Linked DNA regions of Pelodiscus sinensis. The protein of the gene in region 1 purifies or fractionates together with the protein of each later gene. This does not show direct contact. Links are inferred from orthologs where the notes say so. Each region holds a gene or a part of one and is shown on either strand. Other genes may lie near its edges.

Region 1 (7,975 bases):
CTCCACGGGCCGGATCCAGCCCTCCAAGTGGGTTGATTGAGCCCATGGCCACTCTCCCACTCCCCTGCTCCCAGGCCAATTGAGACCTAGAGATGGGGGAGCATGTGAAGTCTCCTCTCCCTGCCAGGGGCGTGCGGCACCAGAGGGAACCGAACATCCCAGCCAAGGTGGGGCAGGGAGTGAGAGATTTCATGAGCAGAGATGATGTCTGCTGCCCTGCCCCCGGGCCCTTCCCAGCGGCTGGAAGGCGCGGCACGGGGAGGGGAGGCGAGGCACCTCCTGAACTAAGGGGAAAGCCTCCCTTGGATTCTCCCCCACTGCCCTGATGCTTCTGCACTTTTTCTTTTTCGGCAGGGGGTGCGCCTCCTGATTGGCCTGGGGGTGGAGGGAGCGCAAGAACAGCTGGCAGTTCTCTCTAGGTGCCTGGCACCCCTGGCAGGGCAGGGGGCAAAGACTTCATGTGCTTTCTCATCCACAGGCCATTCACGGTCTGTGGGCAGAGGAGTATGTGAAGTCTCCTGGCCCTGCCCCTTCTGCCTGAGGCCCAGCCCTCTTCGGGGTGTCCCACAACTACTTCTGAAAGTTGTGAAGTGCCCCCCCCTTCAAAAAATATTGCCCACCCCGGCACAGAGGATGAGAACTTGGCAGACTTTTTCCTGCTATGACCTTGGACAAGTCCCTTCCTTGCTCTGTGCCTCAGTTTCCCCCACTGTAAAACGGGGCTTACGATATGGGGCCTCCTTTGCAAGGCACTTGAGATCTGCAGATGAAAAGTGCTAGTTAAGAGTTAAGGATTCTCTGCCTTTTGCTAGTGAGAGGTTGAGGAAGTTCCCATGGGACTTTGCCGTCCCATTTTGCCATCCCATCAAGCAGCTTCTCTCTCCCATTCATGATCTTTTAATCTCCTGGGGCAGTGACAACTGCTGATGTGGAAACATAACCTGAATGTAGCAATTGCCAGAACAGGGTCAGCTCTGAGGGCCATCTAGCATCAGCACCAGAGGCTGCAGAGGAAGGGGTAAAGAACCCCAGAGTAGCAATGGAGGGAAAACTTTCCGTTTCTAGAGGTCTCGTCCTGCTCACTAGCATTAGAGATCCACTTAAGCCCTGACGCACAAGCTTCAATATCCATTTCGGAATTATTGCTGTCATTTAAATTATAGCCTTGAATTGTCTTTCTCCCTGTGAATGGCCAGTCTAGTCTTGCCCTCAACTTTGTGGTGGTGAGTTCCGTGGGCTAATGGTAAAGTGTTTCCTCTTACTGGTTTTGAATTCCCCACCTTTTAATTCTATTTGAGTGTCCCCTGCTTCTTGTGGAATGAGACAGGAAGGAGAGAAGCTCCTCATCTCTCTTCTTCATCCCAGCTATTATTTTCCAGATTAAATGGTGGCCCTCTTATTGGGTTCCTTGGTAAGGGAAATAGTCCTCTCCGTCTGTCCTCATAGGAGAGTTTGTCCCAGGTCTAGATTGTTCTTATTGCCCTACTCTGAACGTTCTCATTTTGCACTATTCCTCTTTGATCAGGGGTGACTAGCACTGCAGCCGTTATTTCCGATCATGCTAGAATTTAATGGGTTGATGAAGTTTAGCAGCTGGAAACAAGGACTTGGCACCATGTTACTAGCAATTGCTGAGGTATCTGCGTCTGTTGATCCTACTTTGGACACTGGCAACCTGCAGTTACTTCAGTACCAGAAGTGAAACTCACTAGAATCTGAGTGAAATTGACCAGCTGTATTGGGTCTTCCCCCTTCCTCCCTGCATTTGTTCATGCTGAGATACCTGAAAAGGGATTAAGTGCAGTGGACTTTATGTTGAAAATAAGCTTTACAGTTAATAAGCCCAGGTGCTGGTAACATAAGAAGCAATTTTTATTGTCCTCTTTTTAAGCTGATAATGTCTCTCTAAATCCTCAAGCTACCTGGTTTTCTACTGAATTTTCTTTTAAATTCATGCGAAATTGCTCTCCGCACTAGGTTTTTAAGGAATCCTTTTGGTTTAAAATATACGTGTATATCATTTTGGGACTGAAAATGAGTGCAGTCCTCTTTTCATCAGCACCATTTTTATTATCTGAGCCTCACGGCGGGTTTCCCTTATTCCTTCTGGTTATTCCTTACCGGGTGAGGAATTAAATGGGTTTGTATTATGTGCTGCTGTAATGCCCATAATGACCTAAACTGAGGTCAAAGACCTGCATTGTGCTGGATGCTGCGCACACACCTAAAACAAGTCCGCTTCTGCCCTAAAGCGTTTTGAATCTAAATAGTCAGGGGAAGGATTCGTACCCCCATGTTACAGACAGGCAGCTGAGCTGAAATGACTGATCCAAGGTTGCATGAAGTCAAGGTCCAAACTCAGCATTGAATCCAAATCTGCCTTTACCACAGGCCATCTTGCCTAACTCCCAAAGCCAGAGACCACTGGGCTCATGTCAGGGTGTGGTCTGTGGACCCCTGGGGCTCTGCAGACCCTGTCTCTCCAAGGGATCTGCACCTCCCTTCGACATTTTTAGGGGTCCACAAATGAGAAAGGTTGAGAACCACCAATACAGGGTGACCTCCAGCATGGCACAACTGTAGGACTGGCCTGAATTAATTCCTGATTGAATTAGAGCACAAAAGTAGCCATGTTTGAGTTGAAGGCTGCCTGTGCTAGAGAATCTGCCTCAGCCCTTGGTCAGTTGTTCCAATGGTTAATTACTCACTGTTGATCTTCTGCTTGTGCATGACAGACCTGCTGTAACTTAGAGTGGAGTTTCCTGCAAAGAGCCTGGCTCCATGCAGGGCAGCTTGCCTGCTAGGCCAGTGTGAACCTGTTAATTGTGCTGTCCCCCCAGTTGTGCCTCCTTGTGTTCAGGCGAGAGCCACTCAGACGCTTCCCCGATGCACCCACTTCTGGGACGGAGCAGGGATTCCTCTGCTGAAATGAATGACTGATAAGCTTCAGGCTGCCAGACAGCCCAGCCTCTGGCTCTCCCAGTACCAACCCAGGCTCTTACTGGTGCTGCACCATGCGGCTGGTCGCCATGGGGGTCACCATCTGTGGCTGGGCCATGATGCTCCGATTGCTGAGTAGGGCAAAATGCCATCTGCTGGGTCCGTGTGTCCCTGCTGCTGCTGCTCATTGCTGGCTGGAGGGAGCTGATTTTTACCGAGCACGCTGGAATATTTTAAACCTTCCCTGCTGACCCTGCGGGACTCGCTGCCTGAGATGGCAGAAAATTCCCCTGGTCCTGCCAAAGCTGCACCTGCGCAAGGCTAACCCTTTGGGCACCGCTCTCGCCCGCCTGTCTGACTGGCATGTGGGCTGGCAGCCCCTCGGAAATGCCGACTCAGCCACATGTCAGTGACACCCCTTCCCCCGCTGCACTGAGACGCGGTTCTGACCCAAACAGCTCGCGTGGCCCCGGTTACGTAACCTAATGGGATCCCTTTCAGATCCGGAGGAAGGGCAAAGAGAGCCTGCTCCAGTCCCTCCCACGGAGTGTCTCGAACCTCTTGGCTGCCTCTTGTAGGCCTGATGGTGACTGGGGGGCTCCAGCGCAGGGCCTGGATGGGAGGGGCTGTCTCAAGATCCACCGCCAGGGTGCTGAGCGCACGGCAGCAGGCAGAGACCTTTCAACCCAGCTGTTCAGCTGAGCCGCTCTTGGTGGCTGGTCAGTGCCAGGGCTCCTGTTGAGCCAGGCGCGGCTCAGGAAGCAGATCCTGGTGCACGCGGCAGTAGCGCTGGACTTGGCTGGCCCCCTGGCTGGCTATCGGTGGAGGCCGGAGGCCACGTGAGCCACAGGGCTCGGATTCTCAGCCCTCCGACTGTGGCCCTGCTCAGACCAGCTGCAACATGAAATGGGTTTGGCAGGTGTCAGTCCAGTTCCCGGAGGGAGAGGCCTCCCCCTACCAAAGCCATGTGGGAACTGTGTGTGAGTCTCCTCCTGCCCCCGTTTCCCCCGCCACAGTCCCGGGAGTGTAAGGCCTGAAGGGGGAGCTTGAATGGGAGCCCAGAAGGTCCCGCCTTTCACCAGCCCCTCTGTCCAAAGGGGCCTATAGCAGCTAACTTTGCCCTTCCTCTTACTCAGTGAGGGGGGACTGGGCTGGGATGTGCTGAGAACAGGGCCTCTGGGAGTCGGGACTCCTGGGTTCTGTTCTTGGCTTGGGAGGCAGCACGGTCTAATGGTGAGGAGCCCAGGAGTCCTGTCTAGGATGATTCTGTGGTAGGAAGTAGGGATGTGAATGGTTTACTAATTGGTTAACCTTAGCGGGTGATGTTTGCTGGTTACAGTTAACTGGTGGGGGCTGGAGCAGCCCCCCACTTGCCATGGGCAGAGATCTGCTCCAGCCCCACGGGGCCTACTGCAAGTGGGGGTTGCTCCAGCCCCGCTGGAACAGCCCCTTCCCATGGGGGAAGGGGTACTGCAGCCCACCCGCAAGGGGAGGGTACTCCAGTCCAGCTGGGTTGGAGCGCCTCCTGCTCACCCTGGTTTAATCAATGAACTGATTAAAACGGTTTAATCAATGAACCGTTTAACCCATTAAATAATTGAAACAGGATTTTACATCCCTCGGCGGGAGGGCCCTCCCTCTGGGGACTGGACTGAGACCTGCCAAGTTAACTTCACATTGGACTGGGTTTGAGCTGATGCTCTAGAGATGCTGTAGATTCCCCTCCCTCCTTCCCACCCACTCCCCCTGAGAGTGGGATGCTCCGGGCTGCCAGGCCAGGTTCCCTGGGATCCCAACCTCCTGTCCTGCCACTGGAGCCCGGGGGCCAGTTCCCTGAGGAGAGCTGGTTGCTGAGAGAGCAGCTGAGAGCAGATGTGGAGCAGGGAGCTGATGCCTTTAAGGGCCTCGTGTGAACCTGGCGGCGTGCCCAGCCCTGGATCTCCCTCCCCCTTTGAGGCTGCTCCCTTGGGGCGCTTTCTGAAACAATACCTAGCGCGCGCCTCACTGGGGCAGGCTGATCCCTGAGCCTAGGAAGCGACAGGAGTGAAGCAGGCTGCTCCCTACCCTGCTCCCGGTTCTTCTCCCCGGGAGAGCCCGTTCCTGCTCTGCAAAGGGTCCTGGAGGCCTGCTTGGAAGCTGGGCAGCCATGGGGGAGCCCGCTGTGGCGTAGAGAAGCAGGGCAGCCTCCGGCAGGATCCCGGCTGCCAGGAGCCGAGGTCTGCGTCATCGGGGCGGCAGCATGGAGCTCAGACCTGGCGACCTCCGTGGAATCGAGGAGGGCTCAGATTTCGACTTCCAGTTCTGGATCCAGCTCTTCCTCTGGGTGCACTTGTTTGGCCGGCTGGTCTATTACCTCCTCCGCACCTTTGGGGGGCTGACGCAGTAGCCCCCTCGCCCCTTGTGCCCAGGGTGAGCAGCTTCCTTTCCAGATTGCCCCCTGCCTCCGGTCTCTGCAGCCCCCTGGAAATTGAGACTCACAAGAAAGGGCCTCCTCCTTCCCCATCCCACCCGCTTGCTTTTCCCCCGGAGCTCTATCCGGCTTCTGGCTTCCGCTGGAAGTGGCTTCCCGCTCCCAAGGTCAAGGAGTGCAGGGCTTGTTTGGGAAAGGCAAAGTAAAGAAACCTTCAAGCAACTAGTCCTGAGTCCCTCCCCTGGCGGCGGTCGGTACCGCCTGGGACTGCACGCCATGAGTCAAACCCCGTGGTGCAGCAAGATCTCCTCGCTGGGGTGCAGCCGCAGGGTGCCTGCAAGGGCCGGGGGTTCTGAATGTGGGTCTGTTTGAGCGCTGCTTGGAGAGCTGCCTTGGACGCGCTGCGACCCCCTGCTCTTCGGCGCTATACACGGGGGCTCCAGCAGCTGATTTCAGGACCTGCGTGCCTCTGACTCAGGCCTCATGTGAGCTGCAAGCCCAGCCCTGTTTCCTTTGCAGCCCGGGGCACTGTACCCGTAGGACAGTGTGTTTGGCAAGGATCCGCTCCCCCGCACACACAGGATCGGCAGTGAAGCAAGAGGGAGCCTCGCGCGCTGCTTTCGGCCCAAGGATCTGAGAGGAGCAGAGACCCACGGGTCTGCTTTAAGCCTCTCTGGGTGGATTTGCCCCTTGCCACCGGCCATTGTTCTGGCAAACCCGTCCATTCAGTTCTGGAGCAGAACCCGTCTTCCCCTTGCTCTCCAGGAAGTGAAACTGACTTGGCTGGCTGCGTAAGTGACCAGACTCCCCTATCCTGTGCCCTCTGCCAGGGAAGCCCACGCTCGGGACCAAGGTGAAGCCATTTCGAGTCCCTGGGTCCTCGCCACCTGGAGCAAGTGCAGGGAGGAGTCGTATGGAAGTGGCCTGCCCGCCTCTGCGTTGACAGCCAGGCTCTGAGGCTGCTGCAGGGCAGGGGAGCTTTTGGATGGAGAGTCTCTCCCCCGGGTAGAAGTCAAGAGCAGTCGGCTCAAGCCCCCATCTCTGTTGGGAGTGGACGAGTTTTGCTGGGGCTTGGGGCTGCTTCTCCGCTCCCTGACCCTGCTCTCGTCTCTGCTGCTGGGAAATGGCCGAGGCCGGAGGATTCCTGGATTGGGGCCCAACTTCACATCAACTCTGGCTGTGAGAGCTGAGGAGAGAGGGAGATAAATAAATTAAGGGAAACATGAGCCACGGAGGAGAAATGACCTGCCCCAACCCCAGCAGGAACAAAGGGGCTAAGATGTCAGCGCTTCAGAAACTGGAGAGTCTGGCTGGGCGGATTTTCTACTGGGGGCCGCGCAGCGAGGCGGGGGCCCCGGCCGGCAGCGAGGCGGCCCCTGTGTCTCCGCACACGCTCGCCTGGAGTGAGCAGAGTGAGTTGAGATGGAATCCGCAGGGGTAGGACCAGCCGCGGCACAGGGCCCTGTGAGTCGAGCTATCTGGCGGGGGCAGGGGATGCAGACACCATCAAAATGTGTGGGATTTGGGGGGCGGAGTGCGCAGGCCAGAGTCTGGCCTCCCCAGCTCCTCCTGGGAAGGATCCCTGCAGGGCAGCGGCAAGCACGTGAGGCCTTAGGAGCTCTCCGCTCCCGGGGCCTCCTCTTCCCGCCACTCCTGAGCCATGGAGGCCTGGGACAGGTCATGGGCCTGGGACACCCAAGTTCTGATTGTGGGAAGGGCTGAACCCGCCACGTGGCGTGAACTTTTCTCCGTGCCCGGCATCCGCCCCGGGCGCCAGAACCCAGGTGGGTGGCGCTGTGCTCTGATCCGCTGGCTCTAGCTGTTCTGCAAGCAGCAGCGAATCTCTCCCCCCGCACCAGGCTCTCCCTGCAAAGTGGGAGATGAGGTGTGTTTGGTGATGGGGCAGAACCGCCTCACACAGCGGGGGAAGTGACTTGCCTCTGCTTGCGCCAGATGGGGGCAGCGCTGGCCGTAGAATTCAGGAGTCCTGGTTCCCAGTCTTCCATGCTGGCCTAATGGTTAGAGCAGAGGCCTGGGCATCATGGCTCCTGAGTTCTGTCCCCGGCTCTGGGAGGGGTTTGAAGTCTCTGCCTCCTTCTCTTCCTCGAATGCCAGTCCCTGGTGTGTGGCACCTCTCCCTTTCCTCCTCCTATACCGGTGGTGCTGCGGGTCGGCTGCCAGGTACTTGGTCGCTGCATGTGAGGAAGGGGGCACAAGGACTCACTGGCTCCCTTCCTCGGGAGAGTCCTGGCCACTTCCCTGGGACAGACCTATGCCCTCATGTGTCACTTCCTCTCTGACATCCTGTGTCTGTCCTTTTCATCCCCCTCCACTTCCTCCTCCTCATTCCCCCAACCCTGCTTTCATTCCTCCCTCCCCTCAGGACAGATGAGGAGGCCTTTCCAGCCTGGCCCCAGCTGTGGGTGGGTGGGAGGGATTCCCCTGCAGGGAGGGAGGGTGAGGGAGGGGAGGGAGGATACAGGGATGAGCCATCTCTCCCACCGGCAGGCTCCCTGGATGTGCAAACAAGGTTGTAACAATAGTGCCTTGGCAGGGCAGCCAGGATTAAAATAGCCTCTGGCACCTTTAACCCTCTGCTGCCTGGGCCTTCCCAGCGTGGCCTGC
Region 2 (7,167 bases), on another chromosome or scaffold:
AAATCAACCTTGATAACTGCGGGCACTTAACCCCTTCTCAAAAAAAGGCACATGAGATTTGAAAAGGGTACTCAGAAGGGTAACACAAATGATATGGGTAATGGATCAGCTTTCATATGAGGAAAGATTAAAAAGAATAGGACTATTCAATTTAGAAAACAAATGACTAATGCAATTATAATACAGGTTGATAAAACCATAAATAGTGTGGGAAAAAATAGGGAAATGTTATTACCTCTTCTCATAACCCAAGAATGAGGGGTCACCCAAAGGAATTAACAGGCATCAGATTTAAAACAAGTACTATATATTCTTGTCCATAAGCTGAATTTTTCTGGTAAAAATGTGAATCATCAAAGAGCAGAGGTTGGCTTATCAATAGGTCACTGTTGTCATTGCAGATTCTGAGTCAGCAAACTTTGACTCCCGGCCCGTCAGGGATAACTTGCTGGTGCACTGGGGCATTTTGTTTACCTGGAGCATCCACAGACACTGAGCATTGCCACTTCCAATGGTAGTAGCTGGAAATGGCAGTCAGCACATCCCTTCACCTACACCACTTCCCATAAGATAAATCACAGCCACTTGGAGCTGCAAGGCTTCTTGCCTACAGATGCTCCATGTAAACAAAATGCCCCAGTGCACCAGCAAGTCATCCCTGACAGATTGGGAGCCAAAGCCACCCTCTGCAATATAAGATTGGCTTATGAAAGAGTCCATAGGGTTTTGCCATTTTTAAACTATCCATTGTGGGAATGCGGGCGGGGGGAGGGAGAGGAGAGTTGGCTTATAAACAAACAGGCTAATGAACAAAGTATACATTGTACTTCCTCTCACAATGGACTATCAACCTATGTAACTCATGACCATGGGCTGCTGAGAAGGCCACAAATATAGCTGCTTTAGAAAAGGAGCTAGTTAAATTCCTGAAAGATAGGGCTAGCTAAGTGCTAGTTAAGTTTCTGAAAGACCATCAATAACTATTAGCCACGATGGTCAGAGATGGAACCCCATGCTCTGGGTGTCCCTAAACCTCTGAGTACCACAAGATGGAACAGGATAACAGGGGATGGCTCACTTGGTTATTGCCCTGATCTGTTCATTCCCTCTGAAGCATCTGGTACTGGCCGCTGTCAAAAGACAGGATACCAGGCAAGATCCACTGATGTGACCAAGTATGGCTATCAAGTTCTTATGGAGTATCAGCAAAAGAACCCCAAAAAATACTTATTATTTTGCAGTTTTTCTGAAATGAATCAATAAAGGTAAGCAAAAATAAATATTTTCCTACCCTAATACACACATTTTTAAGCAATTTTAAGGAAAGGCAAATGTTTTCTTAAACCAACAGACTTTTGTTGATTAATCTGTCAAAACTTCAGAATTACCATCCAAAATGTTGGGAGTAGGATAGCTTCTGGATATGGAACTTCAGATTATCAAATAAAATATTTCTGAAAACATTATTCAGTGGCAAAGAAATGGTCCACTAGCTTAATTTGTCTTCATTAAATTAAGGAAAATTATACAGCAGAATATGACAGGGTAGCTGCAACAATAAGGCCACAAAAATTATGCTCAAGATTAAAAGTTATTTGCCAGGGATGCATAGAATTCAGAAGATAAAAGGATTGTGCCATCACAAGTAAATCAAATTGGGAAGAAACATTCTATTTTCTTTGCTGTCCATCCACAATAAGAGTAAGTAACATCACTAGTTTTTTCATCAAGTGAATGGTCTTCTAAATTTAATTTAGGGCAGTGAAATTTCAGGAGAGATGTACAAAGCTGATACAGCATGAATAGTTAGCAGCATAAGGCCTAAAAGCAAGACATGAAAAATCCACTTGCCAATTCATTCATACTGCCTTGAGATGCTGACCTGAGAAATGGGTCCAAATCCACCAATTTGCCTATCATTTAGGATCTCAAAAACAAGCTTCTATTTCCATTTGTATTATGTCTATTAGCATATCTAAGGGCTATCCTTAAAGTTATGAAAGAACCTTTCAAATGTGAAGAGACACAGTGCTGTCCTCCTGAGTCTGAGATGGACAGCTCCATTGCCTCTACCACCACTGGTATCTTTCCCAAGAAGCAGCATAGTGAAATTAAGAAGACTATTGTCATTTTTATGATGCTCCCATTTTATTACAAGAATACTCAAGAACTCCAGTCAGGAGCCTAGTGTTGGATCCTTTAGGCAGAAGTGAAATTGGCTGCTTGGGAAAGTTAGGGTGAAGCCATGAAGCAGCCACTAGCACTAAGAGGGATCAGCCCACAATAAAAGAGAACTGCAGCCAAATTTGGGGGGGTTGGAAGCAGGGAGGCGAACGGGCAATTGGTTACACGGTAAGCATCACCCTTAATGATGTGATGCTTATTGGGCAACAATTAACCGGTCCCTGGGAGCAGCGCTCCACCCACGGCACCAGCCCAGCGGGCCAGCAGAGCCCCCCCGACCACCAAATAAATGGGTTTCAGCTCCCCACCGGGAAGAGACCGCAGTGCTGAGCCCGCTGGACCGGGGCGGCGGGGGGGGGGGGGGGGGGGGGGCTGCAGACGCCCAGCAGCCTCGCACGGGCCAGTAGCCGGACTGGGTCCCGGCCACGCACCAGGGCCAGCGCGAGGGAGCGTGTCCCCCGAGCGGAAGGGGGGAGGCGGCTGCGGAGCGCTCCAGGCGGGGAAGCGGGAACGATGCTCCTCGTGAGGCGAAGGGGATGCGAAGCGGCCCCGGCTCCCGTCCCGCAGGGAACTGGGGGCGCCCCCCGGTCGTTCCCCCCCCCAAGAGCCTGCGCCGCCCGGGCCGGAGGGGGAGGGGCGTACCTGGGTCCGCAGCGTCCTGCGCCCGCAGCCATGTCACACCCCCTCAGCGCCCGGCCGCTCCCGCTCCAGCCGCCGCAGCGCCCTGCCTCCGCCGCGCTCGCGCGATGCCCACCCAACCCTCGCGAGGCTCGCCGGCGGGGCCGACGGGCTGCAATCTCGCGCACAGCCCCCGTGCGCAACTAGGAGGGCGGCCGGGTCACGTGACGGACGGCCTCGGTTCCTATTGGGCGAGCGAGCCGATGTGGAGCTAGCGAACGCGGCCCCGGGAGGGAGTTACGCGCGTGTGCGCGCGCCGCTCAAGTCAGGCGCTCCTGGGAGCCGCGGCCGGTTCAAGGCGCCGCTGTGCAGACGGGCCCCCCCACGCGCGGGTTGGGCAGCCACGCCCTGCAGCCTGGGCAGAGAAGGGGCGCGCTAGTGCTAGGCGGCTGCTCCGCTGCTGGTTCCTGATGGCTCCAGGAGCTTCTTTCGTTGGAGCCGGGCAGGCTGCAGCCGGGTCTGGTGCATCTGGCTCGGGGGCCAAAGTGCCCCTGGCAAGAGTTAACTCCCTCCCCCCGCCCCCCAGGCGGGTTAGCTGTCTCAGCCCCACTTTGCAGGCAGGTAGAAGTTGGTCACTAGCTCTTGCTCCCAATTAAATTAATGGGAAGGCGGCGGCAAAAACAAGTCCCATCAAAGCCCGCCGAGCCTGTACACAGGGAACGCCGAGACCCCGAGAGGCTTCACAAACAACGGAGCATTCAGAAGAGCGAACCTGTTGTGTGCCAATCAGCAGAGTCTAAATGTCTCGCACACAAACGCTCCCTTTAGCCCTAGCCAGGCTTTTGATTTCTGCGTTCAGCTGCTCCTGCCCCTGAATTGAGGTATCCTGATTGGTAAGCACGAAATGTAAAAAGCCCAACGTCTTTTCCATATTCTACTAGGGCCTGCCCTGACTCAATAGAAAGAGGCTTAATGATGTCAGTGAAAGTTGTATCTTGCCCCTCCTACAATGACAATAGGAAACAGAAGATTGGGAGGTATATTTCCAGGGATGCTCAAACTGAGGCAATGACTGCACAGTCTCAATCCATGTTCCCAAAGTCAGGCCCTGAGAACTCGTCTCTTTATTTCTCTCTGACAATGTTTAAAGTCAGTGCTGTACAGTAATTCCTCATTTAACACGTGCCCGTGTAATACGTTTTCACGATAGCACGATTTTTTTTGGAACGTTTTTTGAATTACATGACCGTCCCCAGAATAAGAAGATTTCCCCAGCCGGCTCATTGCTGGTGGTTGCGCGGGGCTTCCCCAGCCTCCCTGCAAAGCGGCGGAGAGTTTGCCGCTCGCTGTGCTGTTCCCCGGTGCCCCCCCCCCCTCGCTGGATGCAGTGCGGGTCCCAACGGACCCATCACAGGGGCATACTTCCAACCCAATCCCCCTCTCCTCTCCTCCTCTTCCCTTCCCCAGAGCCAAACACCTCCCCTCCCTGCTGTAACCCAGTTCCCTTTCTCCCCCAATCTTATGTCCCGGTCCCAACAGACACCACCGCTTGAAACGCAATTCCCACCTTTTCCATTATTTTCAATGGGAAAATTGATCCTGCATAACATGTTTTCACTTAACATGATCATTTTCTGAAACATATCTATAGTGTTAAATGAGGAATTACTGTACTTACTCCAAGCCTAATGACATATTGACCCTATTATAGATTACAGTCAATATCACTTTCAGGTTCTCATGCACTGTTATACAATACTACCAGGTGAGGCCTGCTTCCATTACTCTTTCCATAACTAATTTGGATTACTTTGTGATTTGTTACAGTAAACATTTTCAGTGAACTAAAATGACAGTAAAATGGGCAACTTGATTTTAATTTTGTTAGCAAATATTTTTATGAACTCAAATAATAAAAGTCATGACCTTTTTCCAATGAAAACCGAAAATAATTATTTAAAACTTTCACCCAGCATATTCCTGTGTAAAAAGTAGTGCATTCAGCTCATTTAAATGGCAGGACTGTTTATGCAAAATTTGGTATCTGTAGGTAATCACAAAGTGACATGAACAGGAGTGCTGACCAGCACCCGGTGACTAAGGTGTTAACTCAGGAACCTAGGGAAGGTGTCAGCCAGGGGGCCAAGAGAGCTATTGGGGATAGAGTTGAAATTTGAATTGGATCTAGGACCCCTGGCCTGCTTTTTTGTGTGTGTTTGTGTTCTGCTCCCTCCCCCCCCCCCCCAAATTCAGGGCATAGGAGCGGACTGAACAAAGAGCAAATTAGAAGTGAGTACCAGGGAAATGTGAGTCCAGTCGTGTTCAGGGTAATTTTTCTTTATCGTGTGGTTTGGTTTGAACGGTTCTGTGTGAATCTGTGCCTCCCTTCCCCATTTACTACCATCTAAGCATTGTGCCAGAGTTTTTTTTCTCTCTGTTTTAATTCAGTTTCCACAGTTGCTCTATAACATCTAGCAACCAAGTGTGGTTTGTCACGTTTATCTTTTATTTTGTAATAAAAATCACTTCTTTTAAGGTGATTATTTTATTCTTGTGTCCTGGAAGGTCTGTCTGTGTGTTTCTGCATGTCTCTGACTGAGGAGTCAGCTACCAGAGACTACAGCTTATTCTTCTCTCTTCTTTTTCAAGCTCTTTTGGGGCAAAAGAACTTTTGGGATACCCCTGGGAGTAGTTTCAGGTGTTCACCACTGTTTTTTAAGGCTCAAAAAGCACTTGATGATGGCAGCAAATTCCCCAAAATCTGTGTGTTAGGATTCTGGGGGAAAGTTTTGTAACCAGTGCCTGTAGAAGCAAGGTTTTTGAAGCTCTCTTGCGGGACCCCACCTTCTGCATTTGGAGTGCCAGAGTGGGAAACAGCCTTGACATGAAGTATGACTTTATTTTGCACAAACAAATCTACAAACAAACAAACACTTCAAAATATATAATAGATTTGTATATAGTGCAAGGACTCTTGCTCTATTTTCTTTTTTATGTGTATTAAAAATAGTGTTCCAATTGGATTTATTTTTCATTTTATGGACATACTGATTTAATGCAGAGTTTACAGAGACTCCCCTATCATGTAAGCAGCCTATGAGCAGGAACTCTCCCCCAGAACACAACACAAGCACTAGTAGGAAGAAATGACAGGAAGTAGAATTGTTTGTTTAAGCGCTCTGAGCAGGGATTCTCTGAGAATACACCGAAATGAAGGACTCCCCCCAAGATCCCCAAAGGTTGGCTTAATCCACATTCCTGAGACAAAGCCAGCCTGGCAAGTGAAGACCTACAGAAACAGCTACATCCGTGTGGCTGGGGCCACCCAAACATACCCACAGAGCTTGGGTTGACAGAAAGAAGAGACAACTTCTCAGTTGCTTTCAGCAACAAAGATGATACCTTGTGGTTCTGCTATCCAGGAAAGAACCAACTACTCAGTCATGTGTCTTCCCTTATACCAAGGTACCCTAAAAGAGTGACTGTCGTGCCCCCCCATACTTTATGCAAATTGGCTTATGAATATCCATAACCTAAAGATGCTTTTGGCAAAATGCATTCTGACATTTTTAAAGTTACAATTCGCTGAATGTTTATATTCTAATTCTGTGTCATGTATCATTCTTGTATGGCTAGTTAGAAATATATAAATTGTGGATCTGTTTAAAATTCTAGATGGCCTAACGAGGGCCATTAGTAATATTCCAGAGACATAATGGTTTTGTGCATAAGTTAACAACCTGTGAATGGTTTTGGTTTTGTTGTAAGCCCAAACTGTGGCTGGTCCTATAAGGACATGTGGCCAGACCACCTGATGCTGGAAACCATTTGGAATCTTGTACTTTGCCACTTGAGGTGAGAAAAGTTTGAAGAGATCACAAAATTCCCACCTTGGGCAATGAGGTTATTAAAGTGAGACATCAAAGCAACAGGGGGAGTGGCCAGACACCAGGAGACCACCTGTCCCCACTTACTATGCAAGTTGCCTGCTGGAAAATCTAATACTGAACAGCGGAGAGGTTCAAGAAGGCTGTCGAGTTTGTGGAAGATCATTAGAATAGCTGTTAAGGTCAGAATTTGCATATAACAAGTTTCTTAGTGTATTAGAATTAGCTGGTGGGTTCTTTTTATTTTGTCTTAGTACTTTGATCTGTCTGTTTTCACTTGCAATCACTTAAATCCTACTTTTTACACTTAATAAAAAATACTTTTGTTTATAATCAAGCCAAATGTAAATAATTGTTAGCTGGAGGGGGGAGCAACGATTCTGCATATTTCTTTTTCATTGATAAAGGGGACTGACCTTTGTGAGCTTTCACCGTGTAAAACTTTTATACAGCGTAATATGGATTTATTGGGGTTTTG

Evidence for each region. The genes of interacting proteins can lie anywhere in the genome.
Region 2: the proteins of PRKACA (region 1) and AKAP11 purify together in Homo sapiens (affinity purification with mass spectrometry; 5 studies listed by BioGRID and IntAct, with this or other methods). This does not show direct contact. The link is inferred for Pelodiscus sinensis from reciprocal best matches to the Homo sapiens genes PRKACA and AKAP11.

What each region holds. Positions count from the first base shown.
Region 1 is NC_134729.1:10,100,214-10,108,188, reverse strand, and holds the start of PRKACA (cAMP-dependent protein kinase catalytic subunit alpha), read left to right. Parts: upstream 1-4,969; 5' UTR 4,970-6,572; coding exon 6,573-6,762; intron 6,763-7,975.
Region 2 is NC_134711.1:284,842,644-284,849,810, reverse strand, and holds the start of AKAP11 (A-kinase anchor protein 11), read right to left. Parts: upstream 3,018-7,167; 5' UTR 2,827-3,017; intron 267-2,826; exon of another isoform or gene 1-266. UniProt on the Homo sapiens protein: Binds to type II regulatory subunits of protein kinase A and anchors/targets them.